Linked DNA regions of Alligator mississippiensis. The protein of the gene in region 2 purifies or fractionates together with the protein of the main gene of each other region. This does not show direct contact. Links are inferred from orthologs where the notes say so. Each region holds a gene or a part of one and is shown on either strand. Other genes may lie near its edges.

What was found.
Region 1: the proteins of MYBBP1A (region 2) and LYAR purify together in Homo sapiens (affinity purification with mass spectrometry; 3 studies listed by BioGRID and IntAct, with this or other methods). This does not show direct contact. The link is inferred for Alligator mississippiensis from reciprocal best matches to the Homo sapiens genes MYBBP1A and LYAR.

What each region holds. Positions count from the first base shown.
Region 1 is NC_081825.1:28,821,150-28,836,965, reverse strand, and holds the start of LYAR (cell growth-regulating nucleolar protein), read right to left. Parts: upstream 7,585-15,816; 5' UTR 7,485-7,584; intron 5,494-7,484; 5' UTR 5,440-5,493; coding exon 5,318-5,439; intron 3,311-5,317; coding exon 3,196-3,310; intron 2,156-3,195; coding exon 2,048-2,155; intron 1-2,047. Other genes in the region: ZBTB49 (zinc finger and BTB domain-containing protein 49), read left to right, coding at 8,574-8,576, 8,917-9,089, 13,756-14,882. UniProt on the Homo sapiens protein: Plays a role in the maintenance of the appropriate processing of 47S/45S pre-rRNA to 32S/30S pre-rRNAs and their subsequent processing to produce 18S and 28S rRNAs. Also acts at the level of transcription regulation.
Region 2 is NC_081837.1:13,863,271-13,879,100, reverse strand, and holds the start of MYBBP1A (myb-binding protein 1A), read right to left. Parts: upstream 6,547-15,830; 5' UTR 6,520-6,546; coding exon 6,370-6,519; intron 6,277-6,369; coding exon 6,181-6,276; intron 6,105-6,180; coding exon 6,021-6,104; intron 5,007-6,020; coding exon 4,932-5,006; intron 4,058-4,931; coding exon 3,950-4,057; intron 2,465-3,949; coding exon 2,274-2,464; intron 1,933-2,273; coding exon 1,765-1,932; intron 1-1,764. Other genes in the region: EIF4H (eukaryotic translation initiation factor 4H), read left to right, coding at 11,706-11,764. UniProt on the Homo sapiens protein: May activate or repress transcription via interactions with sequence specific DNA-binding proteins. Repression may be mediated at least in part by histone deacetylase activity (HDAC activity).

The DNA.
Region 1 (15,816 bases), on a different chromosome or scaffold from region 2:
AAGTGTAGTTAGATTTGTTATAAACATTTCTGCAATCACGTGAGGAAAGCTGTACTGTAATGGGACTGGAGCTGTAGAAACTTTTGATCCCCTATTACAGTGCAACTTACCAAACAAAAAAAAAGTAGGACTGGATTGGACCTACAGAGGTCAGCTAGTCCAACCCCCCACCCGTGGTAGGATCATCCCTAGCCAAACCATTCTATACAAATCCATTGTCTAGCCTATTAGCAAAACTGTATAGTCAATACTGGCACAACCACAAGACATAAAACACCCTAACCTGCCACAGGTAAAGCAGGAGAACAACAACGGACAATGTCCTGTTGCTGTGAGGCTTGTTAAAATCCAAGGAAGCAGGCCATGCCTCCTACTACAGAGGAAGGCAGAAACCCCCACACAGCATGTACCAATCTGACAATGGAATAACATTTCTTTGACTCCAAATACTGCCAGCTATCTGACCCTGAGAAAAAGACCACGACCCTCTAGCCAGGAACTTCCAGGTTTAAGTCCCAGAATGAGCACTAGCGCACCCCAGTCAAAATCCCTAGCCTTGGCTGCAGCCAACACCTAATACTTCTGGGAAAGGTGGGGAAAAAAAGAAAAGAAAAAACAAGAAATCTCTCCCCAACCCTGACCCATAGCAGTAAGAGGGAGGAAAAAATTCCATCCTGGCCCCATGCAACAGCCAGCAAAGCCTGGAAGCATGAGAAATATCCAGAGAAAAGGCATAGTTACCTCCAGCTTCACAAAGACCCTTTGATACACTTGACCATGAGGGGCTGACAAAGCATTTACATGACCTGGTGGACATTCATGGGACAGCTTTAAATTGGTTCCACTCTTTTCTAGCAGAGGTTTCAAAGGGTGGTGATGGATGAGTACTTATCACCCCCTTTTGACTTTATCTAGGGAGACCCTCCAGGCTCCACCCTGTCACGTTCTTGTTTTATAAGTTATTCTGTCCTACCGTAAGCCACCCTGAACCTATGTTGGGAAGGGCAGCATATAAATGAAACAAATAATAACATGTTCAAATATTTGTTTCCACTGTGATAACCCAAAATGCAGTTTTACCACAGTTCCAACTATCTCCTAAACTACACATCAGAAACATAAACCTTGCCTATTGTCAGCATCATACACTGAGCTGTGGAGGAGAAAAAACAGAGGGCTCAGCCTTCCTAGTCCCATCAGTATTTCTTTATGTACGCTCCAAAATACTTGGAAACTGGCAAAACAGTATAGCAGCAGCTTAATAAAGGACCACATTTGGAAGTATGTATTAGAGTCATAAGAAGCAATGAAGATCTAGAAGGAGCAAAATCTAACCTCAATGGGTATGTCCACAGGTGATGTAGATGTTTGGTTCCCTAGGAACGACTAGCGGCAACACACCTTGCACCACCACCAGTCGTAAATGGGGAATGCCTGCGCCATACACGCTCTGATGTGTGGCAAGTTACCCCAGGTGGGGTAGGGGAGCCTGAGGCCAGCACCAGGCTGGCGCCAACAGCCTTACCTGGGGGCTTCCTGGGCCTGCAGCAGCAGCAATTCTGCTGTGTGGAGCCCGAACAGCTTCCAAAGCATAGCTCCGGGCAGCATGGTTCCACTTTTGAGCGGTGTGCACTGCCTCTGCATGCACTGCTCCACTTTTTTTTCCTGCCATAGTTTTTTTTGACCCCTGGATATCCAGGGGTCAAAAAACCCCTCTGCACTGTTTTCCTGCAGCACAGAGAACAACTGAATGTGCGGTATGTGGCACCACAGATGTTTCTGCGGTACCACATACTGCACAGCCACACTCATCTGGACATGGCCTATTAGGACAGAAAAGAAATCACTGCAGTACAGGTCTCGAATAGGTGTTTACAGAAACAGCAGACATAGCAATCAAAAAAAAAATTAGAAGTGCAGAGTACTGAAACAAGAAAAGGTCTACAGAGGCTTGTTACACTCTCATGACTCCAAAGCTGAAAAAAATTCTAATGTCTTTGATTAGTGAAAAGCGCTTGAACCACTGCTAATCTCGTTAAAAACATACCTGAAATTTGACCTTTTTTCTTGGAATATTGTCATAGGCACGTATTTGCTCTAAAATATTTCGTACTTTGGGGTTAATGTTTGGCTTCTTCATTACTTCTTGAATCTTCTACAAAAAGAAAACCAAAATTACTAAGTCAGATGAGTAGTTGAGTTGATTAGAAAATTCCTATAAAAAAAATCCACAGTACTTCTAAGTAACAGAAATCACCTAGCATACACTCTAGTATTTGTTATCTCTTGAATCACAGATTATACTTAGAAACTTCCATATGTAAAAGGTGGACAAGAAACATCAATTTGTTGGTTTTGATCTAAAAATTATGAAGAACCCAAAGTGATTTTAATGAATCATCTACACCAGTTACAAGTCAACTGTAACACTGCTGGTGAACTAGCTTGATAGATGAAGTTCAGAAATAGCATGACCCAGGTAAAGTTAAGCTAGTATGTAGATATAACTATATATTAAATGCATGCAATTTGTATAACTTGTCTAAACTTTCAGATAATGCATTAGTTAGAGAAAAAAAAATTGACCAACTATGATTTAACATAATTTTCAAATATTTAAAAGAAAAACAAATGACATCAGAAAGGAAAATTTTGTTAAACTAAGAGGAGGAGGTATACTACAAATAACCCTATTTTTCAGCTTCATATGTTTATTTTCAGGGCTGAAATAGAAGTGCCTCTAAAATCCTCTGAAGAGTTTCAAGAATCTTTTCTTAATAGTTTAGGTTGTAATTTTTTTCCTTCACAGAAGGAATTAAGTTCAATTTCCTAAGAAACAAGAAGCATCTTGAGTAAGAGATTAATGTATTCCCTTCAAGCACAGAGTATACCACATTTGCAATATTCACAATGTTACTGTCAGCACAGTAACTGCAACAGAGAACTGGTGAGGCACATTTTTACAAAAATATTTGGTTTGTCTCCTCTTCATAACAGATCATTTTTTCAGGACACAAATTTAAAGTGAAACATCTGTATATTAACTCCCTCATATGAACCAGTATTTACATTTTTCAAATACGAGCTGCTTTGTATACTAAATTTGTGTCTTGTTTGCATTTATACCTAGCAGGATATACTGAATATATATATATATATATATATATATATATATATATGAAAAACAAGTCTTACTTGAATCCACTCCTGCTGTTTTACATCGCCTTTGTTAGTTTTTGCGTCATAACCTTTGCCACCATATTTCTGATCTTCACTTATGCACTTCACGTGGTTCTTATAATCGTCACCCCTTTGATATTTAAAAAAAAAACAACCTTTTAACATAAAACCTGTATATAATATTCTGTCAATGAATCCAGCTTTTCAAACTCAACAGTATTTACAAAAACAGAGAAATAGAAGCCATGGAAAGCCAAACACTACAGTAAAAAATTAAAACCCAAATACCATTAACACAAGCATGTGTAACTCAGTATGTAAATGGTCCCACTAATGCCAATGGAACTACTCACATAAGTATGGTTCTACATGCTTAAATACATGCCTATTTTCACCATTCAAAGCACTTTCTTAGCTTCTAGCGAAGTTATCTGAAGAGAATACAGAGTCTCTAAACAATATAAACAAAGCTTTCTATACCATTCATAATTATATGTTGTATACAGTATATGTGGTATGCATATTTATTCTCAATAAAGCCTGCTAGAAAAGTGTTTGCATTTTTTATTCTTCTGCACATTTAAAAATTCTAAATATTTATAGAGTAGCATTCACAATAAAGATATGTTCTCAAGTTAGAATAATAGCTTAAGAATAATTACATATAAAAAAATTCTAAATTAGATTTTTTTAAACAAGGTTTGGTCTAGGTAGTCTCCTGATCAAGTTAAAATACTTAAAAGGGGGCTTGAAAATGTAAACCATTGGAGTGGTGAACTTACTGATATGGACCTACCATTATTCCACTTCCTTAGTCCCGTTGTTACTTTTATCTAATTTTTACTTTTAAAACTGGAAAGCAGACTGCAATGGCATTTTTTTCAGAGATCTGGATATTTACAAGAAGAGCTGTAACTTTGGAATTACAGGATTTCATAGCAATTCTCCAGTAACCACAGCATCCAACAGTTTGCCCCAATAAAAAGATATAAATACTAAAACTAATAAAGGAAAAGGAAAATCTAAAAATTACAACTGTTTCTCACCATACAGAGATAAAAGTTTTTGCCATCACTAGGGTAAACAAAAGAAAAAGACAGTAACAAAGTGAAGAGAGGGTTCCCTTGCCCAGAAGGAATGACTAGAATGTGTAGATACATGATATTAATGTGCCTGAATAAACTCTGGCGCAGTTTGCACTGGAGTCAGCTGCTCCCAGGCACAAAGTCTTCATGTGCACTGCAGCAATTAGAGCCAGGGCAGTCTCAGACATATGTGAAGATTCTGAGCCCGGGGACAGCTGACCTGGAGCAGGAGGTCTGGGGGTCAGCCCCAGGCTCTGGAGGGGCTGGACACTGTAGCACCTGCATGCCCCAGCCAGCCCTGGTCACAGTCTACACGTTTGAGTGCACGCAAGTACTCTGCCATAGTACAGTGGAACCCAGAGGTGGGCAAAATGTGGCCCGGGGGCTGGATGTGGCCCACCAGGCCATTTTATCCGGCCTGTGGGGCCCCTAAAAAAATTTAGAAAATTAATATTTATCTGCTCCTGGCTGCCTATCATGCAGCCCTTGGTGGTTTGCCAAAACTCAGTAAGCGGCCCTCTGTCCAAAATAATTGCCCGCCCCTGGCATAACCTCATAAATCTGGCATACTCAGGACTGAGCACCTGCCAGAAATTTGAAAATTCCATTTTTTTGAAACTGGAGTGGCGGTTGCTGCTCTGGCTTCAAAAAAATGGAAATTTCCGGCAGTTGCTGTACTTCTGTTGAGCAGTACTAGCCTATCACAGAATTAATTAGTTTTCTGTACCCTAATATAGGCACACGTGTAGACTGTGATGCTTTACTCAGGAGTTAGCGTAAATGTGCCCACTGTCACTAATCCACTCCAGCCTGTAAAAGGGGAAGGTGCTATTGTCTCTTTCAAGTTCCCAGCTTTGGATCCTCTTGCCCACAAATTGGTATCAATGATTGCTTGTGCTGTAACTCTTACCCTGCCCAAAGTACAGCATGCAATTAATGCTATATTTGCACTCAGGATGCTAAAGTAGAAGAGTAAAGAGTAAAGCTACCTAAAGCATCTCCTGCTGCTGCTACCAAGCAGGTATTGTCAAACAAATACTTCATTTACCTACCAGAAATCTTTGCCACAATCCATACAAGAAAGGCACTGACACCTTCTGCAAATATTTACATGTTTTTCAACTTGTCCTTTCTTCACAGATTCTCCACATGCATTGCATGTGAAGACTACCATTTTGGATCCAAATAGCTTCTTCTCAAAGGCAGTTACAGTAAAATCTTCAAAACGCTAGAGAAAAAATGTATCATCTGAATTATTTAGGAAAAATATTTTAAAAACCCACACAAATGTATTGTATATTGATTAACCTATCATTTTCAAACCTATGAAACATTTATTATGAGCAAGCATTGCCAGTTATTTGCTGCTCTACATAATTCTCATTTTTATTTCTAGTTTATTTCTAAGTGGGTACAAGACACCTTAATGTACAGTGGACCGGTCTACTGTGCATTAGTACCTCATGGCAAAAACCATGCTAATGCGCAGAACTCATCTACTGCGCATTAAGCATCATAAAAAAACATTCGTCTTTGCTACTGCACATTAGTGCAGCTACTATGCCTTTATCTAGTACCTCATATCAGAGGTATTAAACTTAACGCGCTGTAGCAACGGCATATTAACGAACATGTAGACATGTTCCAGTGATGTGATGTGAACTAACTCTAAAGACGTAGTTTCAAATAGAAAACTGCAACAAGCGTATAACCTTGAAGTTACCAATGATTCAGTTTTTGCTTCTCTCTATGCATCAAGGTGCCTATATCTGTATAGTCTCCCTTTATAACGTTTCTCAAATACGTCTTTCCTCTCCAAGGCTGAGTCTGCCTGTAATCTAGAGGAGTTACCTAGGTTAGCTCACTATCTACACACTGGTATCCCCAACTCTCCCTCTCCAGTCTTCCTTTTCTGCCAGTATTATCTCTTTCTGAACACATATCACTAGATCACTTTTCTGCATGAAAATCAAACTCTTTTTATTCAAATTTAAGGCTCTGTTCTCTGCTCGCTTGTTCATGCACTGTTCTTCACCTTCTCATTTTAATGTTTTCTTCCCCCTCACTCTTGCCCCCATGCCTTTTTCCCCATGCTCCCAATAGCTAGCACATCAGTCTTCCCAAAGGTCCTACATCCTCAGTCCAATTCAGCTCCCTCCTCCAGGACCCCTTTCTTCCACGTGTTCCCTGAAATTACTGTTAGCTCTGCCTGCTGCTGAACTAGTCCCTCCTGACAGCAACCAGACTTGCACGATGCATTACTTATCTGCGACTTGCTCCCATCCTGCTTTCCTTGCCTATACTGGTGGTTTAACGTTTCTGTGGTTTCGACCCAGAATGGTTTTGGGGGTAAAGAGCTGCGTCTTTTAACGAGATACCCAGGTCTGTGGAAAGTGTGTGTCTGCTACACAAATGCGCATCAAGTCACAATTAGAGGTGCAGACAGAAGTGACAATTTTCACCTGATCTGGCCACAAAAAGCAGTTCGTAGTTGTGACCAAACACAGGTGCACGGCTGCAAGACTGTGTGAAAATCTGACCCCTCATTGCACGAGGTATCAAGTAAAGATATTGCAAAATGTAGTGACTTTTGTAACTTGCCTCTGCACAGCTCCCAGCATATCCGTTTTCAGAATGGGAAAGGAAGCAGAGAGTTTGGTCCTGGGGGGTTTTAACCCTCCTCTGGAGGCTGGGTGAGGTGTATTGCAGCCCCCCTGAAGTGGAGGGGGCCGCAATTTACTCACCCCACCTTTCAGCACCAGCTGGGGGAGCTCACTCCTCTGCTTTTCCCCCTCCCGGTCTGAAAACATGGAGCAGGGTCATTGCAATGGGAACCCAGCTGCAGGCTCCCAGCCCCCAGCAGGACGCTCCTTCCTCCTGAAACCAACAGCAAACTTGTGTTTGGTCCAGTGTAACGCTGTAGCTCAGGAAGTTTTGCAGAAATCCTTCTGAGCTACAGCTGGGAGCTGCACGTCTGTCCGCACCTACAAAAACGACTGAGCTCAGACCTGGTCGGCAGCTGGAACAACCCAGCACGGGCCTGTCTCTACTGCTTCCCTCCAAGGCACGAGTCCGATCCGCCTCAAAACCCTGCCCTTCATTCCCACGTGCTGGGATGGGCCATGGACCACCTCCCGCGCGGGCCCATGCCAGGAGCGGCCGGGCGGGCAGGGCGAAAGCCGGGCAAGAGAGAGGCTGGGCCCGCGGCTCTCAGCGTACCTGCTCCCGGGTCCTGCGGCGCGAGCGGCCAATCGCGCACTCAGCGGCGCCGACACACGTGCGAAGCTCCGACGGCCGCTCTCAACTCCCGGCGCGCGCCAACGACTCCCCGCCGGGCGGAAGCGGAAGTGGAAGCGCCGGGGCCGGAAGTGCGCGGAGGGGCCGGGGCCGAGCCCGAGGCGGGGATGGGGTAGAGCGGCGGTTGGAGCCGGTGAGGCGGGAGGTGTTGCGTGGGGGGGAGCTCCCGGGGCCTCGGATTCCAATACCCGGGGCTGGGACTGCCGCAGCCCTGGGCCTGGCCGCTCGTGCCCCTCGGCCTGCGCTGGCTGCCTCCGCCCCGCGGCGCCGTCTCCCACGCTTCCCTAAGGAGCTGGAAACAGGCTTAGTAGCGTTGGGCGAAGGCGGGCCTGCCCCGCCCTGGCTGTAACCGCCGTGAGAGCGCAACGGCTGATGGCTTGGGACAAATCCGGTGGAAACGGGGTGTCTTGTTCCCCTAGGGCGAGAGGGGCAGGGCCGGGAGAGCTCGTGTCACAGCGTCGGGCCTCCGACACGTGGCACATAAGGGACCTGTCTCCCCGGGAAATGGCAGCGCTGTGCGATGCGGACAGATGTCCTTAGGAGTCACCTGAGTTTGGTTAATACAGGGTAGACCTGGGAACAATTTCTAGTGGTTGGGGAAAACCGCTTTGCTGGCACATTGGTTATGTGTAAACTTCGCAGTTTCTTTCCCAGTGGGAAGATCTTGGCTTTACCCCCCGCTTTATGGAAACAGGAGACTCCTTCCTAGCTTGCTCCTGTGGCCATGTGATGAAATTCGGGGGCATCCGAACCCCAAGTCTCTGGGCTTGGGCTTGTACGTAGGATGTCCACCAAATCTTTAGGAAACACCTGAATTCCCAGGTGGGGATGGAGGATGTTTTTTGCCAGCAGTAGGGCCACATATGGTTCTTGACCGCCTCATGAATTTGGAATTGATTTGGTTGATTTGGCTTGGGATATGAAAACTTTTTCTAAAAAAAGAAAGAGAAGCTCTTCTTGTGTTAAGTTAAGGCATCAAGACCTTTTTCAAAACGTGCCTCACTAAGATTCATGGTATGTCTTTCTGATAAAATCTAATTTGTATGCCTGTTCAAATCATGCGTGGTTACAATCCCATCTACTTTGTAGTATACCTTGGGCAGATGCTCACTGTTAGGAAATACTGATTTTTAATAAACATGTTGATGTCTGTAGTACGCTCTTAGTGACTAAAAATTCTCCTTAAGTTGCCTACATGTCATGCTAAATTATGAGGAGCTCTGTTGCACTGGGGAGAGAGAAACTAATCATTGCATTGCATTGCATTATACCTTTTAACCTATTTTTAAACTTGGTCTGCAGGAAGATGTAAGCTGCATTTCTCTTAAGTATTTTTTGTCTTGTTTTGTTGTAGGTAATTAAATGGTGCTCTAGCATGGATGCTGTTGCTAGCCATAGTTGTCATCTTCTCCAGCAGCTACATGAACAGCGTATTCAAGGGCTTCTGTGTGACTGCATGTTGGTGGTAAAAGGAGTCTGCTTCAAAGCACATAAAAACGTATTAGCTGCTTTCAGTCAGTATTTCAGGTACTCCAACCTTTACTGAAGCAATAAACAGGGTACCATAAGTTGATGTTTGAGGAAAGAATTTTTCTGCTGGCTACTAAATAGTAATGTTGATACCTTATCACAGTTTTAAGGGAAAAACTAGGGGGTCTTAGATTGCTTGCTTGCACCTAATCTGCATTTTGTATTTGCTTTAATTAAAATGTGCATCATTCCAATTTATTTTGTAGCTGATCATAATTAGGTGTTACCATGTTTTTTCATGTCCAGTGCATCCTGGCATATAATACAAACCTTGTTTTTGACAGGTAGAATGAAGAGAGAGAGATCTTTCCTTATAGTAGGTAACTGAATAGCAGTAGTTAGGGAGCTGAGCTTGTTCATTGTTCTGCTCCCTGTGCATTACAAATTTTACTTTGTTTCACTTGGTAAGGGGCAAAAACTGCTCTTACTATAGTTCCTTTGTCTAGGGCACACTCTGGTTTCTAGCAAGCATTTTTTTGGGGGAAAGTGCATTCTGTGTGCAGGAAATGATGGTAAAGTCTTTGAGTTGCAATCATGATTTTGGTGCTTACAGTGATTAGCATAATGAGGCTTGAGTCTCTGGCTTTGGTCTGCTGCCAGTACTGTACTGCAAGATAATGATAATGATGAGACTTCTTTTTAAAGTTCTGTGTGGGACACAGTAAGGGTGACCAGGCCAGATATGGGATTTAGTGGCTGAGGCCTCGTAAGATTATCCACTTTTGCTGTTTGTTAGTGTTAGAAAGAAAATTGATCTGGAAGCCACTTTTAAGTTTTTCAGAATTTATAGCCTAGATTTATACACTGAAATTTCTTAATCTGCAGGTCAGTTGATGCTTCCAGAACTTTTAAGTGAAATTAGAATGTGCAGTGAGCAGTAACTACATTTCAAGATAAGTTTCTAGAGGTGCACTGATGCATCAATCCAATAGGGGATTGGCACCGATATAAAGAAAATTTATCGTATCGGAAATTGGTCTGATGTGGCTAATAATTTGGGTGATAAATGCTTGTGTGTGTGTGCAGCTGTAACACAGCATGTAGGCAGCAAGGAGCACAGCCCAGCAGCTTGGAGAGCTGCATGCAGCTGGTAAATTTGGTGTGGTAGAAGGGGATGAGGGAGGGAAAGGGGTGGGGGCAGATCAAGGTCCCCGTGGTGAGGGAGCAGTGGGGTGGAGCAACTGCTGCCCAGCCAGGGTGGGTGCAAGATGGAGCCACGGCTTGTCCCAGGGGGGAGGGGATGCGGCTCCTGCTGCTGCGCACCGCTCATCTGGGAGCTGCCAGTCCAGTGCTAGTCGGGCATTTCCCACCACTTGTCGGGGGTGGGGGGACGACACACATGTGCCCCCAGATCTGCATGGGGCAGGATGGAGTAGGCTGGGGCTGGGGTTGCATGGGGCTATTCCTGGCCTGTCCCGTGCAAATGCGAGGGCACGACCCCAGCCCCCCATGCCTTCTCGGACGAGTGGTGGGAACTGCTGGACGAGCGGGTAAGTGCCAGACCAGTGGCTCCCGAACCAACAGCATACAGCGGTGGGAGGCCTCCCCCCATTGTGGCCCCAGGACAAGCTGCGGCTCCATCCCACACCTGTTTCACCCCAGCTGGGCAGTGCTTGTCCCAGCTCCAGCCCCACTCCTTCTTCGCTGCAGGGGCCTTGATTTGCCCCCCCACAACCCTTTCCTCTCCCTTTCCACCACACCAGAATTACCAGCTGCACGCAGTTCTCCAAGCTGCTGGGCTGATATTGAAAATCAGATCAGTATCTGCTGATGTGCCTCCTTAAAAATCGGCTGTTGGTATCGGCCCTAAAAATCTCTTATTGGTGTACTGCTGAAAGTTTCTTTACCTGCCATAATGATTGGGCTCTGTGTTTGCTCTTCTTCTCTTCTTGCATCATCTTCAAAATGAATATGACAAATTTACATAAAATAATAACTGGGAGAAGATAGATTTAATAAGTAAATAAGGGAAAGGAAAGCTGAGATCCAAATATTTTCTGTTGTTAGAGAAATGCTGTTATAAGCTCTGAGATTTTCAAAGTAGTTGAAAGGAGTTAGGCATCCATCCCATTTTGAAATGCAATGGGACTTAGATATCTGATTCCTTTAGCGGGTTTTCAAAAGACTAGCCCAAATAAATGAAAAATATTTGCAATAAACTTAGGCAGTGTGGATTAGTTAGGCAGTGTGGATTAGACCGAACAGGATTTAGGCACCATGGTACCTAACTTTATGGCTGCCTGGCCCCCAGACTATCCTAGAACCCTTAGTTAGGTGCTTGGTTTCTATACAGTGCACAAGGAGAGTTAATGCCTTTGCAGTCATCCAAAGAAACCCTGCAGTATCTGGGAGTTAGCCAGAGCTAGCAAATAGAAGACGTTTTGAATGGGCGCATTATGAAGCCTCTCCAGAGCTTAAGCACTTGTTAAGCGCTCCAGGTAGGTGCCTCCATCTGTTTGTAATTCAGAGTCCAGGACACTCTTCTGAGGGTAAACACAAATGTTTTTTCAAGGAACTGAAAAATATTTACTGTTTTGTTTTTAAAATGCAGTTGCTAGAGAAGAAAATGGTGATTGTATTGAAACCTTACAATGGTATCACTTAATGATTCAAACTCTTTCCAAGAAAGTGGAAAACTTAGGTTCAATACCTTCTTTAACTTAAGAGGGCTCCAACCCACATTTCCCATCTCCAGGAGACTGGCCTAACCCATGCTTTAAATCCAGTACTCCTACCTCCTATGACAGTGTCCTAACCAGCAGGGTACTGGAGAGAGGAGGCATAGGTTTAAACTACCTCACGACTGAAGGCGCTGAAGCCTGTTCTCTGCTTCCTGTGTGAGTATTATAACTACTAGGCCAGGGATGTCAAATTCATGAGGCCCTGTTGGCACACAGGACTGGTCTGACATGTGCCATGTGTGGCGTAGAAGTCCAGTTTAAGACCCATAGGCAACACTGTGGGCCAAACGACAGGTTTCTGTGCGCTGGATCCAGCCAGTGGGCTGTATCTTTGACACCTCTGTACTAGGCTACTTCACAGAACAGGCAGTATCAACTTTTATTTCTCCTTTGGCTGTGTTTTATAAGAAAGTGGTTACAACTGCATTTGATAAGGGACCATATTCTGCTGGTAGGTTTTCTTGAAGCATGCCAAACTAAACTGGATTCAAACAGAGGGAAGCCTAGTTCCTGAATCCCCATAGAGTTTAGATGGGAGGCTGCTCAGGCTGGGGCTATTTTGTACAGCCACAGAAGCAGAATGTTTATTGTCACTGGAGAGGTGTCCAGTGAGATTAGGAGCAGATAAGTGGGGATTTTTGAATCATAGTGCTTGATTTAAGCAGAACTGAGGCTCCTAAATTCTTTATGGGATCTAGTCTTATGCAATGAAATGATGCACAGCCTATAGATGTGGCCAGAACTTGAAAAAAAATTGTCAGGTAGACAAGGGAATGACCTAAGCAGGGTAAGTTTCAGTAAGGTTCATTGGGAGTGTGTGATGGAGAAGCTCAGTCAGTTCCTTTAAAGGGTAACATGCTAGCATTCTTAACAAAGTAGGCTCTGTTTGTCACTTTGTTTTGTAATAGTGTTATAGATCTGTAACCTACTTTGCTCACTCTCCCTGATTCGATTTGGCTGAATCTGAAGATTCGGCCATAGACACAGCTTTAAATGTTTTTCTACATACCTCGAGGTACCAGGCACGGCTTGTGAATGCTGCAGTGGTGGGGCAGATGGAGCATCCCACAGGAGTGCAGGGGGACCCCCTGCGTGCTTGGTGGCAAACCCAGGAGTGGACCGGAAGTATTTTTGGTCCACTTCTGGGTCTGCAGGGGGCCCCCATGTGCCCCCTAGCTTGGCGATTGGCCACGGGGGGACCCCAGGTATCCCCCCAGACCCAGGGAGCACCAGTTGCCAAGCTGGAGGGGGACTGGACGGGGACCCCCTGTGCGCTCCCTGGTGGACCTGGAAGTGGACCAGAAGTGCTTCTGGTCCACTTCTGGGTCTGCTGCTGAGCGCGCTGGGGAGCCTCTTGCACTCCATCTGCCCCAGTATTGCAGCATTCACAAGCCGCCTGGTACTTCAAGGTACGTAGACAGAACATTTAAAGCTGTGTCTATGTCTGAATTTCCGAATATTTCTGAATCTCTCCAAATCGATTCAAAAGGTTCCGATTCGATTCAAAGAGATTAAAGGGTCTCCTGATTTGATTCGGTTTTGGAGATTCGGCCGCTGAATTGGGTCGAATCTCAGCCAAATTTGAATTGGGGACCGAAGCTTCGCACAGCCCTAGAGTCTACCCAGCACTATGCATAACCCATTAATACAATAATCAGGCCAATGTTCTAAGCATGAGAGAGGGGTAATTATAAGGCTGGGTGGGATATTCAGAAGTAACACGTTAACGTCTTCCACAGTAGTTGTGTTAAAACTTCCATTTACTTTAAAGAGGGTAGAGTTCTGAAAACTACTCAACATCTGCTTAATCCTTCTTATAGTACTATAGTGCTGGTGATTTAGTCCCATGCTGCATGTTATATTATTGATTCATATCAGTTTGGGATATTAGCCGGCGTGTTCAATTTTTTTAAATAAAAGCTTTTGTAATCTAGCAGTTTGTGTGTCTGTACATTATAAAGAATTATGCATTGCTTTGTTAGGACCCTTTTTCAGAATTCTTCAGGCCAGAAGAATGATGTCTTTCACTTGGATATTAAAAATGTAGGTGGCATAGGCCAGATTTTGGACTTCATGTACACTTCTCACCTTGATCTTAGCCAGGACAATGTACAAGCTATGCTGGATATTGCACAATGTCTTCAGGTACAAAATGTGCTGAACATTTGCCACACTTTTTTAAAATCCTCAACAGCTGTAGAACAGCAAGCCAACATGCCTTGTAATAATGTATTTGCTTTGCAAAGTACTTTGGCTACAGATACTAACTGTGTGAATGATACTTACGGAGCTACCTTATTGCATGAATGCTCCTCGGATGCACAGACTAGCAAAGTCTTGGATGACCATCCTTCCCATGGATCACAATCTCTTAATCTTCATACACCCTCAGGTGATGTACAAAAACAGCCGCAGGACTCATTAGATGGTAATTGCACAGAGCTTCCGTTTAAACAGCCAAATTACTACTATAAACTGCGGAACTTTTATAGCAAACAGTTCTACAAACAGAATGCTTGCTCTAACCATGAGAGGATAACGGAATCATCTTTTGCGTTCAATGCGTCTACAGAAATTAATGCATCTACAGAAATAAATGCAGTGGAGAGCAATTCTTGTACTGTCAGTCACTCTGAATGTATTCTGGAGTCTTCTGATCACTTACCGTCAAACTTTCTGGTCCAGTCCTTGAATGAATCTGTTCCAGATCCGGGTTCAGAAAGCACATCCTTACAGCCTACTAAACAGATGCGTCTGAAGAAGGCAATTCATCTTAAAAAACTAAACTTCTTAAGATCACAAAAGTCTGCAGAGCAGTCATCTGAGCCTAAAAGTGATGAAACTGGTAAACCAAAGGCAATTGAATCTGAAAATGAAAATGCCATGGGGATGGCAAATATCAGTGCTGTGGCAGAAAAAGAAACTGAAGATCTAGTTAATTCAGAGAGTTTTGAACAACCTGTTGAAATGGAAAGAGCTCAGGGTCCTTCGGAACAAGAACAAGAACAGTCACAGATTCTTCAGTCGCAAAGGCAGTATTCTTGTGAATTATGTGGAAAGGCTTTCAAACATCCAAGCAATTTGGAGCTCCATAAGAGGTCTCATACAGGTACAGTTGTTTAATGTCTGTAAACCAAATATTGAATTATAGATTAAAGAAAAAAGGAAAGTGACATCCAGGCTACCTCTTAGTTTGAAAGATTCTTGTTTCATAGGAATCCACTTAAAAAATATATTTTTCTATGCCTAGCCATGGAAGGACAAGGGCAGCAGTAAGAATATATTCAGTTAAATTGAACCTAGAATTTTTTCTTTATTGGAGTGTTTTCGCTTATTTTGGTTTCTAAAGGTTTCCTACAAAAGCACATTGTCTAATATTTTCATGAAACCTTGTAACTTCGCCTTGTGTTTTAATGGAGAAACTTTTCATACAGCCAGGGGCATATAAGGACTAAGTATACAATTGGAAAAAGCATGGATGGATAGAAATAAAGGAATTAAAATGGAGATGGATGAGGAAGCATTTGTGACTAAATTGCAGGAGATGCATCTCTTTCTATAATATTTCACACAGGGCTAAGGACATGACATGGGATTGGAACTGTATTGTTCTAACTGCAAAGTGTATGTTGTAATTAACTTATAGCCTCTCTCTAGAGGGCAAGTGTAGAATCTGGCTGGCATGGACAAATACATTTTGTAAAGAAAAAAGTTTTGAAAAATTTAACTTGTAATTTAAAAAAAAAATCATTTAAGTAGTCTGGTTTTTAAGTCTTGCACAGATTGGTTTCTAAAAACTACTATTTGCTTTTTTTGCCTTTTGGTAAAGTAGAAAAATAAATCCAACCAAATTAGTTGATTGTTGTTATGAATAGTCATTGTAACCAGTACACAAAACTAGGGCTACAATAAAATTGCTTGAGAACTTTTTCATTGGGCTTCTGGCTCTCTTGCTCACCCTTTCATGTTGAATTCTAATGGCAAATAACATTTTTCATATACACAGGTGTTGATTTTGAAAGGTAATACTAATTGATGAGAAA
Region 2 (15,830 bases):
AGATGAGGGTCACAAGAGGCTGCATGCCAGCCCGCCAAGGAGTGTGAGTGGCCTACGTGGTCGCTCAACGGAGCAGGGCAGTTTGGGTATGTCTCAGTTAGGGGCAGCATGCAAAAGGCCCAGCGAGAGAGGGTGAAGTCCGAGAGGCCCCAGTGAGAGGGGGGAGGTATGAATGAGGCCCGATGAGATGGAGTGAAAGGATGAATGCACGAGGCCTAGCAAGGGGCTGAGTTTGGCCCGGCCAGGAGCCAGAGCAAAGAGCAACTCGAGGATGCCATCCATGAGGCATGGGACACTAAGGGGAGGCTGGAGGCATGTGTACACCCCTAGGCATCGGAGATGTAAATAGGCAACCTCCCGCATTTTTACAACCAGTATCTTAACAACAAGGTGGGGCAGGAGAGACCAGGCAGACTGCCCTAGACAGGTAGGTAGGTAGGTAGGTCTCCCAGGGCCGGTATGGTGACCAGGCCCTGGGAGATGCCCTTTATTGCAGACACTCTCAGGCCACGTGCTAAAGTGAGATGCATATACACCACAAGATTTGGACAGCTCCTGTTTAGAAACCGGTTTCCTTGACCCTCTGTAACTTTGACATGGTAAACAAACCAAAATCCCTTAGAGACAGGTCAGAGAGGTTCATCTCTGGATCTGGGCTTCTGGTCACAAGTTTGTGACAAAAATCACGATTTAGATTGAAGAGCAAAATAGCAGTTTTGATAGACAGTTCACATATCTGTTCTTGCAAATTTTCTGGTCTTTAATCATAAAAAAAAAAAAAAAAAAAAAAAAAAAAAGACCTTAACATATTCTGGTGACCTCAACCACACTATAATTAGAAACCAACAGATGTTTGACTCTGATTACACCCAAAACCAGAGGTGTAATCAAACCCCTAAACCTAATTCAAATCCCTCCCCCTGCCATCATGAAAGGACAAATTCAAAAAGGCACTGGACACAATTTCCTGATCCTGTGCCATCTTCGACAACATTATCAACATGATTTTTTGGTTAAACTTAGAGTTGCAAGTTGTTTTATGCTGTATTCCTATCCTCGAGCCCCTCTCCCAGAGCCCACAAGACCTTCTCATGTTCTTTATGGCCTCAGAAATTTAAAAATGTAAAAGTGAAATTGTCAAGAAAAGGAGAATATAAGGAGCCTACATCACACTACTGCTCAGTATTGTTACCTGGGGGCCAAGGTTGGGGACCATTGCTTTGAGACGTTGTCTACACCCAAGACTTGCATCATTTAAATTATGTTGGTTTGATGTGAAACCACCAGTTCCTTCTTACTGCAAATACCTTTATGGCAGCACAGTTAATTTGTTTCCCCAAACAGAAATAGCTTTTAGCTTTAAGGCACCTTGACACATGTACAACTGCACCCCTAGTTATTCCTTTGGTTAAAAAGAAGCATAAAAACGATCTCTCTAGCTGGAATCCTACTAGTATAAAGAACTGTGTTCGTACCAGGTATAAGAATTATGAACATGCAAGTAGCCAACATTATTCCCCATCATAAGCTATTTTGTCCCAGCTGAACAGAAAGCCATACAGTGCTCAAGTGTTATTTCTTAGGTTGTGGCAGAGTTGCCTCTTCAATTTGGAACAATTAAATTTGGTAAAAAGAAGAGGGAGGCAATTCTTCATGAGAGTCTGGGGTTTTATGTCCAGCTTTGGTCCCAGAGAGCAACAAAGCATGCCTAGGGTGGGGAGCAGAAAAAAAGAAAAAAAGTGACTGGAGCATTCAAGAACAAACCTGTTTGGTCCCAATTTTTCCTTAAGCAACCCATTCTCCACAGCTTCTTTCCAGAACAGGTCAAAGGCACCTTCCTTCAGAGAAACACGCAGCAGATCCAGCCCCACGCTTGGCAGATTCTTGTCCTTCTTCTCAGATCTGGCAGCAGTCCTCAGAACTGCTACAAGCCTAGAGGGGAAAAAAAGGAAAATTGCAAGAGGACAGAAAATCAGAGTTGTTAATCCCAGAAGGAGATTGCTGAAGATCCATTCCACCCATGAAACTGCTTTCTGGAGCAGACCAGGACCTGCACTGAACCCGGACAAATTGTATGTGGCGAGTGCCTCCCAAGATGATCGGCACCCCCAGCCACACTGGAGATGGACTAACTCCAAACACCCTTGTCTCCCACTAGATTCAACAGAAAACACAGGTGCCCTGCACCCCTTCATGTCAACACCTGAACGTTTCCCACTTGAAGTGGAAAGGATGGGGACATGGCATCTTTGCGCCCTTCTATAACAACTCACTTGGGAATGTTTTCCGGGGTTACGAGGGTGGATGAGCCCAGCAGTTTCTTCAGTTTCTTGGGCTGAAGAACCTCAGGGAACTTCTGTATGGCCACAAGCAAGAGGTGCAGCTGCTCCGGGGAACTGAAGGCTGAAGTGAGGTCAGCCTGTAAAGTGCTGAACAGGACCTCCTCAAACACAGCCTGAGGGGTCTGAACAGCAATGCAGGTGAGACAGCAACACAGCAAGTGAGGCCTGGTTTGTACGTAGCTACAGAATGGTACAACTATTTACACCAGTGGTTCCCAGCCTTCCCCCACGACCCGCTACTGGGAGCAGAGTGCGGCGGCAGCCCGGGGAGCTCCCAGCATGCGGCGCGACTTGTCCTTTGTGAGCAGCACTGCCCCAGCAACCCTCATCTGGGTTGCAACCTGAGGTTGGGAACTGCTGATCTACGCGTAACAATAGATTTTACCAAATCAATTATAGCAGGATGATTATCTTAAAAACAGGTACAGTTCTATTGGTACCAGCTTATTCTTCTCCCCCTGGAACGACATACCTAGATAATGTAATTATCTGACTATAAAAACTCCTTAACAGTTGAGGAAAGGCAGGCAGTTACCCCAGTCTAAACTACGCTGGCAGAGTTAAAGGAATATAAATGCTGCAAGCTGAGAAGACATCGAGGATATGCAACACTAGCAGAGGATCCAATGGGAAAAGGAATACCCATCCTTTTTTTGCTTTTTAGGAGAAAAAGATTCTGTATGGACAATACCATAAAAATATTTTATCAGCATACTGATGGCCAGGGATCTGGGCTTTCTGTTCACCATGGGAAAATGCAGTACAACCCCCATCTTCTCATTTTAAGGAGAAAAATGCAGGAAACAGTAGGTTTCCCCTCCCAGAGTTTCAGCCTGCCAGGAGCTGGGGATGCCCTGTGCACGAACACATGCACATGGCTGCCAGGCAGCCGGGAGAGCAGGTCCCTGCAGAAATGCATGGCTGCAGGGCCTGGGTGGGGAGCGGGACAGAGCCACAGGCAGCTTGTCCTGGCGGTGGTGGGGGAGCTGGATCCCTGCCACTGTGTGCACTCATGGCAGGGGCATGGGGGCACGTCTGTAAATTCACTCTCAGAATCTATACAGAGCAAGGACAAGAGCACACAAGTCACGCGGTGCTCCTTATGCTATACCCACTTCTCCACTCAGCTCCACTTCTCAGCCTTGCTTGCCTCCACCCTACCCCCACCAGCTCAGATACACTGACCCTCTACTCTGACGATCAAAATTCAATATTGAGCACGCGCAACACACTGAATGCTTGTACGGGCATTGTCTGTGCACCTATATTACAGATAAACAACCTGCATCACCACGCACAGTTGCCAATGTTATTTTCTGTAAGCACAGAGCGCATCGGGACACTGGACAGAAACGTTCCTATCAACTACAGTGAAGCTGGATCAGTCCCAAAAGAAAAGGCTCGCACACTCTGAAAGTCAGCTAAGCTGAACAGAACAAGACACACTTCTTCCAGAATAAGTGCCCAAGCATGTAGCTATTCAGAATAGCTACCACACTTTAAATTCCCACTCTAACAATCTAAATTAAATATAGATACATTAAGGTGCAGGGGAGGTAATGCCACAAACAAAAAACTCCCAAACTGATGCGCCACGTCTCCATTACCTCCGAGAGGATGTCAACAAGAGCTTTCCTAGGCAGAGTTCGGAGGAACTCCGGGCGCTGTGACAGGCTCTGCAGAAGCTGGACACAATGCAGGAGGGTCTCCTGGTCCTAGAAGTTAACAAATAAAAAGACAGAGAAACACAGATAAAAAGCTATATAGTGAGGCTACAGCTGAGCCCAGGTATCTGCTCTGAGTGTGCTAGTTTTAATAATAATAAAACTTCTCAGTTGCTCCCCAACGTACACATCCATTCTTTCTGAAGCAGCATTTCCCATCTGTGACTGACAAGGTATTCCCATGCCACCAGAAAGGAACATGTTTCAGGTTCTCGGTCCTGTCTGTGACAGTTCTTTTATTTCCGTCAGAGAACTTGAATGCATCTTTGGTAGCAAACATGGGTGAATGGGGATGGAAGAGTAAAGGAAGATTGGATTGGATTCCTTCCCTCTAAAAGGGCCATTCCCAACAGCTTCTCCTGAATACATGGCCGCTTCTGATTTCCAGATAAGAGAAACGCAAAATAATGTGGAGTCACAAAACCTGTGATTTCAGCTCTCTGTACCCACTATCTGTTTTAGGTGATCCCAATTTCCAAAGCATCAAACTTCTCGGCTGCCTTTCAGGCATTATTAATCCTCCTTAAAACCCCTGTGAGAGAGAAATATTTATTATCTCCTTCTTCAGATTTGGAATAGACACACCAAGAATAAAGCTGAGATTCCTAAAAGTGGTTTGCCCCCCCTAATTCCCATTGAAATAAATAGAAATTGGGCATCTAAACACTTCCAAAAAATCTTGCCCTAAGCTACCTGTTTCAGGTTACCTAAGAGGCCTACGGTTAAACAATGAAAGGAACTAAACCCCGAGCTCTCATATCCCAGACCGCTGGCTTGACTAAAGCACAGGCTGTCCGTCCACTTCTGGTTTTCTTTTGCACTTTGCACAGCATCAGCTCCTCTGTCGACATGACAGTAACGTTACCTTTACGAGACGGCCTGACTGGAACAGGGCCAGAACCCCAAAAAAGTTTCCGAAGGCAGCATTTCTCAAGAGTTTCTGAAAAGAAGACAACAAGCCTGACAATTACATATGCAAAAAACATGACATTTCACACTCAAATTGGAGGAACTCCAAGTGCAGCAGCAAATTGCTTAGGACCTGGTCTTGAATATCTTTCCAGATGAAGGGAATATACTTTCCTGCAAGCCACACACACACACAAGCCTCCTGGGTGGGAATTGTCCTTGCAAGTCGGGGTCTGATGCCACGATCGCTCCCGATCCCAACAGGCATCGGTGGCAACGTGCAGGTGCATGTGCACCCCGCGAGTGTGTCTGCGGGCAGTCTGCAAGTGCGCGGGTCACCGCCAACGCTGCCGGTAGCGTCCGTGGGCGGTCCGCGATTGCCGCGGGTCACCGCCAACGCTGCCGGTAGCGTCCGTGGGCGGTCCGCGATTGCCGCGGGTCACCGCCAACGCTGCCGGTAGCGTCCGTGGGCGGTCCGCGATTGCCGCGGGTCACCGCCAACGCTGCCGGTAGCGTCCGTGGGCGGTCCGCGATTGCCACGGGTCACCGCCAACGCTGCCGGTAGCGTCCGTGGGCGGTCCGCGATTGCCGCGGGTCACCGCCAACGCTGCCGGTAGTGTCCGTGGGCGGTCCGCGATTGCCGCGGGTCACCGCCAACCCTGCCGGTAGCGTCCGTGGGCGGTCCGCGATTGCCACGGGTCACCGCCAACGCTGCCGGTAGTGTCCGTGGACAGTCCGCGATTGCCGCGGGTCACCGCCAACGCTGCCGGTAGCGTCTGTGGGCGGTCCGCGATTGCCGCGGGTCACCGCCAACCCTGCCAGCGGTGTCTGCAGGCGATTGCTGACCACTGGTCAGCGCTCGCTTGCCACCCCCCCAATCCCAACAGCGCCGCGGCAGCTCCCCACTTGCATCCGCCACTCTGGGGAGCATGCGGCGTTCGCGCCGACAGGTTCAAAACCATTCAAAACACCCTGTCGTCATTTATCTTCGAGGAAGCCTCCCCGAGGACAACGGATGCTGGCAGGAAAACAGCGGGGGACTCACCTTTTTGACCCTGTCGAGGCTGTGTTTTTCTCGGATCAGCTCCAGCACGGAGCCCAGGGAGATTTCCTCCATCGCCTGCAAGACCTAGGAGGGAGGCAGGCAGCGAGTCAGCCTCCTAGAGACCCCGCTGCCCGCCCGCCCGCCCCGGCTCCGGACCCACCTGCGCCAGGGCCAGGCTGAAGCCGGGCCGCGCCGCCTCCCGCGTGGCCGCCAGCCCGTCCACCAGGCGCCGCAGGGCGTAGCGCAGCTCCTCGTCCTGCCGAGCAAGCCAAGGGCGCCGCGTTACACGGAGGGAGGGAGAGAAGGAGGGGGCACCCCCGGGACACCCCCGCCCCGCACCGCACCGCACCGTGCCGCCGGCCCGCAGGTAGCGCAGCAGCCCCTCGGTGCCCGCCAGCCGCGCCGCCTGCTCCGGCCGCGCGATGTCCCAGAAGAAGTCCAGGAACTGCCGGCTCTGCTGCAGCTGCGGCCCCGGCCCCGAGCCGCCCTGCCCCGCCATGCCGCCGCCGCCGCCGCACGTGGCCCCGCCGCGGCCGCCCCTTCCGCCCGCGCCGGCCTGCCCCGAGCCTTCCGGCAGCGCCAGCGCCGCGCTCCCTTGCACGGCCCGGCCCGGCCCGGCCCGGCCCGGCCGCGGGGATTATTATGATCGTGATGACCATCGGGATCTCTGGCGATGCTAAAAGTTTGCTCCCTTGCGGGTGTCCCCTCCTCCCCTGCAGCTGCAAAACTGACGCGGGCACGAGGGGGTGGGTGAGCTGCAGGTCCAGGGGCAAGCAAGACCGGGGAAAACAATTATTAAGCAAGCTTTCGGGTTCAAAAAGGCTTCATCAGGCTAAGGAAGTTTCGGCAGGCGGTGTGCTCTATACGACTATCATTGATCGAGTACAACATTCTGGGTTATTTTTGGTGAAAATAAGGTATCGGGCTTAGGTTCAGGAGCAAATCCCCCATTTACGATATTGTTTCCTATGGGAAAATCGGTTCCGAGTTACGTTTCGATTTAAGACACGGTTTTCAGGAACCAATTGCGTCGTAAGTCTGAGGACTGCCTGTAGTTTGAGAAGGGTCACCAAAATGATTTACAGCGGGATAACTTAAAAATGGGTGCAGCGGTATTGGTACCAGTTTATTCTCCACCTAGAACAGTGACCCACCAAGATAAGGTGCCTTTAAAGTCAATTAATTACATCTGCCCTTGAGGGAAGGCAGCCCAGTCTGCCATAAAGCAATGACATGAACGACGCGTGCCCCCGGAGGCTGGGGGGCACAGGGACCGCCTGCAGGCGGTGTTGGCAGCCGGGCAGGCCGAGTGGGGAGCTCCCAGAGGTGGCCACGGCGGTGTCGGGGGCTAGGCAAGCGCTGGCTGGCAGTCGGCAACCATCTGCAGACACTGCTGGTGGTGTTGGCAGCAAGGGGGGCCGTGGCAAGGAGCGAGTGGCAGTGCTTTTCATAGGGAGTGCACCGCCGATCTGAGGAGGTACACGTGCACCCGCGTGCACCCCCTACATGTCGCCAATAAGCAATGATGTGGGGTAGACTCTTTAGAAAAAAAAAATTATTTATGGGTGCGCCAATAGAGATTTGGGGGGCCAATACCGATAGCCAATTTTTAAGGAGGCTTATCAGCAGATACCAATCCAATTTCCGATACAGCTGCATGCAGCTGGTAAATCTGTTGTGGTGGATGGGGAGGGGCGGGGGGCAGATCAAGGTCCCCCATGGTGAGGGAGGGAGTGGGGCTGGGGCAGGTGCTGCCCAGCTAGGGTAGGGCAGGTGTGGGATGGGGGGCATGGGGGCTCCCGTTGTTGTGTGCACCCTGGGAGGGCATGGGGTGTGCGTGTGCCCCACAGATCTGCATGGGGCAGGGCAGGCTGCAGCTGTGGGCTGGGGCTGCACCAGGCTCTTCCCAGTGGGGGCTGCAGTAGGTGGCTGCCACGGTGCTGGGAGGGGCTATGGTGAAATTTGGGGTGGCTGCAGCCCCCCCACGTAAGCCCCCTCCCAGTGCTGTCACCCCCACCTCCCCAAGCACAGCCTGGCCCAGCCCCAGGGGGAAGAGCCCAGCACAGAGCCAGTCCACAGCTGCAGCCCTCCCTGCCTGCACCCTGCACAGACTTGATGGCACACCACCCGTGCCCTTCTGGGCACACGCCCCCCCCCATTGGTGGGGCACAGCAGTGGGAGCTGCCCCCCCTCTGTCCTGCACCCCACCCTGCCCCGGCTGGGCAATGTGTGCCCCAGCCCCACTCCCTCCCTCGTTGTGGGCCCCCCAGCCCCTTCCCTCCCCTCTCCCCTTCCACCACAACAGAATTACCAGCTGCACACAGCTCTCCATGTTGCTGGGCTGTGCTCCTCGCTGCCTGCATCTGTGCGCATGCACAGGCATTTATCTGCCCAATTATCAGAGACATCAGGCTGATTCCCGATACAGTTCATTTTCTTTTTATTGGTGCCGATCCAATATTTATCGGTGCACCTCTAATATTTAATTTTTCTGGAGTTGTTTTGTCTTATTTTCCCAAAAACTGGGGAGTGACCAAGATTTTGAAGACTGAAAGTGCGTAACCTGGACTCTCAAATGGCAGCTGGATATAGATGCTCATAGATTCAGAAATTGTAAGGGGCCAGAAGGGACCTTGGAAGATCATCAGGTCCAGTCCCCTGCACCAGAAAGGAAAGACAACTGGGGTCTGGTGACTGGGGTCAGTCTCCTCTTGAAGATCTCCAGAGTAGGTGATTGCACTACCTGTGGAGGGAGCTTATTCCAGTCTGCACATCCTGACTGTGAAGACGTTTTCCCCTAATGTTGAGTCTGAAATGGTCTTCCAGGAGTTTGTGGCCATTACTCCTGGTTTACCCCAAGGGTGCCCTGGTGAACAGTTGTTCACGGAGCCTTTGATGTACTCCCCTAATGTAGTGTGGTAAGCTACCAGGTCCCCTCTGAGCCTTCTCTTTTTCAGGCTTGAGTCCCAGGTCCCTCAGCCTTTCCTCATATGTCTTGCCTTGAAAGTCTCTGATCATATGGATGGCCCTTCTCTGGACTCTCTCAAGCTTTTCCATATCCTTGTTCAAGTGCACTGCCCAGTACTGGACGCAGTACTCCAGCTGCGGTCTCACCAATGCCAAGCAGAGTGATAGAATCACCTCCTTGACTTGGTTTCATCTATGAACTTGGACCCACATCCAAATCATTGATGAAGATGTTGAAAAGCACTGGACCAAGCATGGACCCCTGAAGAATGTCGCTGACCACTTCTTGCCAGGACAACTCAGGACAGTTCATTAGGACTCTTTGAGGCTTACCCCGCAGCCAATTTCCTACCCACCTGACCATCTTGGAGTTAAGCCCACAATCCTCCCATTTTCTCATGAAGACATCATGGGATACCAGACCAAAGGCTTTTTGGAAGTCAAGGTATACAATGTCATATGGAAAAGCTTCCCTCAAAAAACAAAATCTTTTGCATTGTGACAGCTTAGTATTGTCTGGGATGGGACACTAGGCCTATTGACACAGTCAGATGGGGGAAAATCAATAAGTTGTAGTTCTCTATAATAAAACCCTAAACCACGGTCCAGTAGAAAAAACAAATCAATAATGCAAATGACACACTTTGGAATATATTAGGAAACCCTTACTACAGTCAGTCCATTATCTTCCTGCCCACAGCACCATTAAAAAGAAAAAAAAAGTGATCTTTATTAACGACAGAGGAAGCTCATAGAGTAAGAAGAACCACCAATAAATGTGTGGCATTGGTTGCTTTTCCTTTTAAAATATCACTTTATCTCAGGTCAGTTGCAGTTATCTAAAGAAGAGAGAGCAGCAATGGGGTCTGCTGTATGAAAGAACCACTTTTGATCACCTTACTAATAATTGCTAGGCTATCTGTGATGAACTTAAAAGAGATGCTGACAGAATGCAAATAATATTTTAAGACCAGCTAGCTAAAAGTACATTATTTTTAAACGAAATATCCTGATTGTGCATTGCTTCTGATTTTGCAAGTATCCTGATCTACCTCTGACAGATTATTAAAACTGAAATCACACGCAGCACTTAGGGCTTAGCTTTTACCATTTAAGCCCTGGCATTGTTTTCAGCATTTCGCTGAGTTTCAATTGCGCATTTTTTCAAATCGTTTTCCCGTTCCCACATACAGGGCACAGCACTGCCATGCTTTTCTTGCAGACAGCGCAGGAGCTTGTTTGCATCCAGTACTTTCACTGACATCTTTTGTTAAAAGAGACTAAACCACATTAATCTGAAATCAAGAAGGCAGAGTTGATTTGCACTTTGTAGGCTAACCAGATATATATCTAACCAGATACAGACTAAGGAAAAGCTTGGGCTAGATAGCTGGGTACACACACACCTATGAATTGAGCTTCGGCTCTGGAAATTTGTGCTAAACACATACGCTGTCATTTGATTAATATATGTATATGTATGCATACACATGTACGTGTGTTTTTATGCATCTCTCTCTCTTTGGCCAGTCTGTAAGGTACAAATGCCTTCGACATTTTTTAAGAAGAGCCAAAGACAGTGCTGCGAACACACAGGCTGTAAAACTGGGTTTTATTCCCCTTGGAAACCCCTAATCACCCTGAGCCTGGTCTAGCTAGACCAGTCCTTTAGCACAGCGGGTCTCAACCTTGTTTGTACCAGGACCCACCATGGAAACATCCACGGCCAGTCCAGACCCAGTGAATAATTTAGGTAGAAAACACATGGGGCATGGGGGTGTGTTTGGGGCACAAAGGTGTGGGGGGGGCACAGGGAGGGGCAAGGGTGTGCGTGGGGGGGTATTAGGGAGTGTGGGAAATGGGGGGTATGTGTGGGGCACAGAGTGGGAGGGTGTGCGGGGCATGGGGGGGGTGCGCAGTGCATGGGGGGCCATGGGGGTGTATGTGAAGGTCATGGGGGGCTATATGGGGGAGGGCCAAGGGGTGGGGGGAAGGGGGACACACAGGGGTGTACATGTGGGGCACATGGGGCGTGGGGGACATGGGGGTGTGCAAGGCATGGGGGCACCAGGGAGTGTGGGGGGATGTGCAGGGCATGGGGTGGTGTGGGGGGCATGGGGGACACAGGGTGTGTGGAGGCATAGGGGTGTCAGGGGGACATGGGGATATATGTGTGGGACACAGGGGTGTGTGGGGGGGACTTAGGGACCGTATGGGGGCCACTAGGGTGTAGGGGGGACGGGGAGAGGGGGTGCAGGACACGGGTGTGACACACGGAGGGGGAGACCCGCCAGGCCGCAAGGTAAGAGCCGCTTCCCCCCTTTTTCCTCCTTGAGAGGAGAGCCCGCTCTCCCCTGCCTCTCGTCCCTTCGCCGCACTGCCGGGCCCGAGCCGCGGTGCTGTGGCGGGGCCCGGGGCCCCCGCGCTGGGCTGGGCTGGGCTGATCCGTGGGGCCCGGCGGCGGGCGGCCCGGACCCTTGTGACGCGCGGAGGCCCCGCGCCGCGCTGTGACGCTCCATGGCGCCGCCGGGCCCGACCCACGTGGTGGTGGGGGCGGCGCGCCGGCTCAGGCATCGCGCGGGGCAGCCCCGGGAGGCGGGCGGCGACGGCGCAGGCAGTGCGGCGGGCAGCCCCGCGCTGGCCCCCTATATAAGCGGCGCGGGGGCCTGCGGGCGCGGCCCTGTCACGCTCGCGCGGGAGGCGGCGGCTGAGGTGGCGATGGCGGACTTCGATGCCTACGACGATCGGGCCTACAGCAGCTTCGGCGGCGGCCGCGGGTGAGCGCGGGCCGGGCTGGGGTCGGGGGCCGCGCGCGGCGGTTCCTGCCGGTCCCCGGGGAGCCCGGGCCTAGCGCCGGGCGGGGCGGGCAGAAAGGCGGGTTGGAGCCGGGCCGCAGCGCAGGGGGAGCCGGCCCCTCCGCGCCGTCGGGTGGCGGGAGCGCCTGGGCGGTGGAAGCAGCCTTTGGTCTGAGCGGGGCCCCGGCGGAGAAGAGCATTGTGTGGCCGTGCCCACCGGGGCGGTGGGGCTGCAGGTCTGGTCGCCCCTGCCCCGAGGCAGCATCCTCCCTAACCAAACCCGCCCGCACAAGTCCTTGCTCAAGCACCCGGATCCAAACCGGCTGCGGATGGAAGACTCCCCCGTTAATTAAATGCTCTGCGTGGGACGCCTGCTACGTTTGCTCTCACTTTTCACGTATAGGATCTAATTCTTGCTGGGACGAGGTTATTCTTTCCCCATGTTGAATGGGGGACGGATGGACACGGACCTTCATCTTGGCTTCGGGTTAATGTGGTGTTACTAAAACCAGAAATTCGAGTAACGGTGGTGTTACTACTGCCCTCGCCTTGGATTCGAGTAACACCCTCATCTTAGACTCAAGTAAAGGTGGTGTTACTAAAACCCTTCTCTTGGACTTGAGTAAAGGTGATGTTACTAAAACCCTCCTTGGATTTGAGTAAATGCCAGGTTATTAAAACTATACCGTTGAACCTGTCTCTCAGCTGCAAGGCACAGTTAAAACACCACAGGTTCAAGCAGGGTGACAAGGGCAGTTGGTGTCCTGCTGCTGCAACAATTGTTAAAATAGGCTGTGTTTTAAAATAGGAACAAATTTGAAAATAGCTTGAAAGAATAGAATTTTTAAAATTAATTCCAGCAACTCTGGATGTTGTAGAGCAGCGGCGAAGGCGCTTGGTGAACAAAAATTTCTGTGAAAAGCTCAAGACATAACAATTTAAGTTAACCTAGCGTTAATGTGTTTTTTTCCCCTCAAATATTCCCAACAGCTGCCGTGTTCCCAACGCTTTGGCCCTTGACTCATTAGGTACTGAGTGTAAGTTGCATTGAAGGAGCTGTACTTTGCACGTCTGTAGAGCGTGTGGCTTGTACAGTACAGAGCCATGTTCGTGTGGGTCTGTGCAGACAAGCCAGGGGTCTGTCCTGAGGTAGTATTAAAATACAGGTCAGCTTTAATAAACTAAGGGCTGCAGTGGAGGCAGTGTATCTTTCAAGCAAAGGGCAGATTTTACTTTTTGTTTTGGTCATTATTAAAGTAGAAAATAATCAGGGAGATTCAGTAAGTATCTAGTAGGCAACCATCAATACTCTGGGTCACGGTGAGTGTGTAAAAGGTCTAGTCGGGTGCCTGATGAGTCTGCTTGTATGGAGTCCTGTGACCATCACACCAAGGTCATGGATGCTTGTGCCTAGGCAAGAGCGCAGAGGAGGGGAGGCTGCCGAAGACCTGTGTGGCCCCCCCCCCCCCCCCCCCCCCCCCCCCCCCCCCGTTCAAAAGCCAGAGCGAGTCCAGACGTTCAGCGCCTCAATGGTTGTAGTTCAGGGCTGGGCAATTATTTTGGGTGGAGGGCTGCTTACTGAGCTTTAGCAAGCCATCGAGGACCGCATGACAGGCAGCCAGGGGCAGATTAATATTCCCTAAATTTTTTAGGGGGCCCACGGGCCAGATAGAATGTCCTGGCAGGCTGCATCTGGCCCACGGGCTGCATTTTACTGTTGTAGCTTGTTGCAGAGAACAGCAGGTAAGAACTGCTGCTGACTGCCAAATGCCTCAGCAAGGGTGCGTTTCTGTCAGGGTGATGTCCCTTAGCCTTTCTCCAACCAAGGAGTTACCCACAAGGCGATGGGGGCTAGGGTTTTGAGGTGCCCTATGCTCGCCTTACTCTGGAGGTTGCAACACTGTGGTTTTTTTAATAGGAGCTGCCCTGCCGTGCATTGCCCTGTCACGTTTTCCCCCAGCCCTCCAGTTAGATGGGACTTACAGTCCTACCCAGGACCGTAGTATCTAGGACACCAACTAATATCTATAGGTGAAGGAATATGTTCCCTTTGATTTTATTTTTCTTTTTCATAGAAACAAATACTTAATTGGAATGTAGTTAAACCTTATGCTTGACGCTTCTGAATTAATGCCATTTTCTTAAATTCTAAAGTTATTTCTTCCTTTACCGTGTCCATTTCAGGAATTAGCTCTGATTGGAGGATGAATGTAGCATGATCCATTGAGACTTTACCAAAACAGAAGCTATTATGTTAATTTAAGTCATAACACTTTGACCAATGGAAACTGTTTGCACTGTGTCAAATAGAAATACGTATGGAAACTGGTTTGATTTTCAAGCACAGATTAAAATGTAACATTGTTTACCATCTCAGATATTTGCCTTTCACTTCCACTTATCATTGTCTGTTGTGCTGATTAGTATCGTTTCACTGTTTGCTTATTCTTCCAAATGCTTATGACAGACAGGCATTGTCATTTATCTAAAATATCTGGGGCAGCACCCAACTGTACAGTACCTAGCTAGACTCTGGCTTGTAACTGGGAGTCCCGGTGCTGCAACAGCACAAGTAATAAATGCAACACCTTTTGCTACATAACAATGGCGTGGCAGTCTAATGCATTCCTGTAGTTCAAACCAGCTATCTCCTTAAGTCAGAGTCAGTGCTTCCTTTAGTTTGAGGAAGGTAGCCAGGAGTAGGAGTGTTGCTGCTTTCCCTTGAAGTGGTTTTTACTTTATTTGCATAATTGACCCATACAGGGTGAAACAGGTGAATAAAGTAGCCTGTTGAACTTGCATGACCTGTTGTTACGATCTAAAAATCATACAGAAGTCAAGCCTAAGAAATTCACTTGTCAAAACCTGTCAGGGATATCAGAAAAGTTGTTAGGGCCAAAAACAAAAATGCCTTTTTCAGCTCTAGTGTTTCTGTTTTATAAAGGGGTATGAGGAAGCTATCCTTCATTGCTTTTTTCTTTGTTTTTTTAAACCAAAGGAGAAATGAAAAACTACATGCCTAATGATGAAGCCTAGATTTATCAGTGTAAAATGTTAAAGTACCTCAGTTAGATGATGAGTATAGCAAACACCTTGGGCGCATCCATACGAGTGGGCACATGCATTTCCCCAGGGACAAAGAGCAGCAGCACATATTTGTGCCACTGCTTGTCTCCAGGGAATGCCTCACTCTGGTGTGGGGCAAATTGCCCTGGATGGTGTAGGGGAGGCTGGGGCCAGCAACTGGGCTGGCCCCAGCAGCCTTGTTTTGGGGGCCTCCCAGGACTCCGGCAGAGATGATCCGGGTGTGTGGAGCCTGGCTGGCAGCTGGAGCCAAGGCCCTTGCCAGCTAGGCTCCAGGTTCGGGAAGCACATGCTGCTGTCATGCACCACCCTGTTTTTTTGGCTTTTTTTTTTTGATACTAAGACTTCATGGTATCTAAACTTGTCCCTGTGCTGCAAATATGCAGCGTGGAGAACCAAATTGCACGCATGGGATGCATTTTGCAGCTATTCAAAAGCTTTGGGGGCACTGCAAATTGCATGTGCACGCTTGTGTGAACATGCCCCTTGAGGCTTCTTTTCAGTGTTGGGGAAAGGGTTTGTTCCCCAATGTCAGGGTACCTTTAAGAGGGGCATGTCACTTTGTGTATCCATTGACTCGGTAGTCTTTGAGAGTGGTTCAGTTGATGAAGACGTTAAGAATGTAGCCCTTTCTTTGATTTAAAAAAGTTACATATCTTGTTTTGTTAACTTCCTTTTCCTTTTGATGATGGAATTCATATCCCTAGCTTATTTCCATATTTATATAGTTAATCCTTTAAATGTGTGCCCCATCAAGCATCCTGGAGGGTAAGGTATACCTCAGGTTTGCTACTCAACAGAGGTAAAATTGTGGAGTTAGAAGCTGTGGAACTGCGCCTTATTTTCAACAGGGACAAAGTACAGCACATTAGAATAAACTTTATAGATATTTATGGAGTAGGAGAGAAGATTTAAGTACAGTTAGCTAGCATTAGTGTCCACCCATTTGTTTACTTCGAAGAAA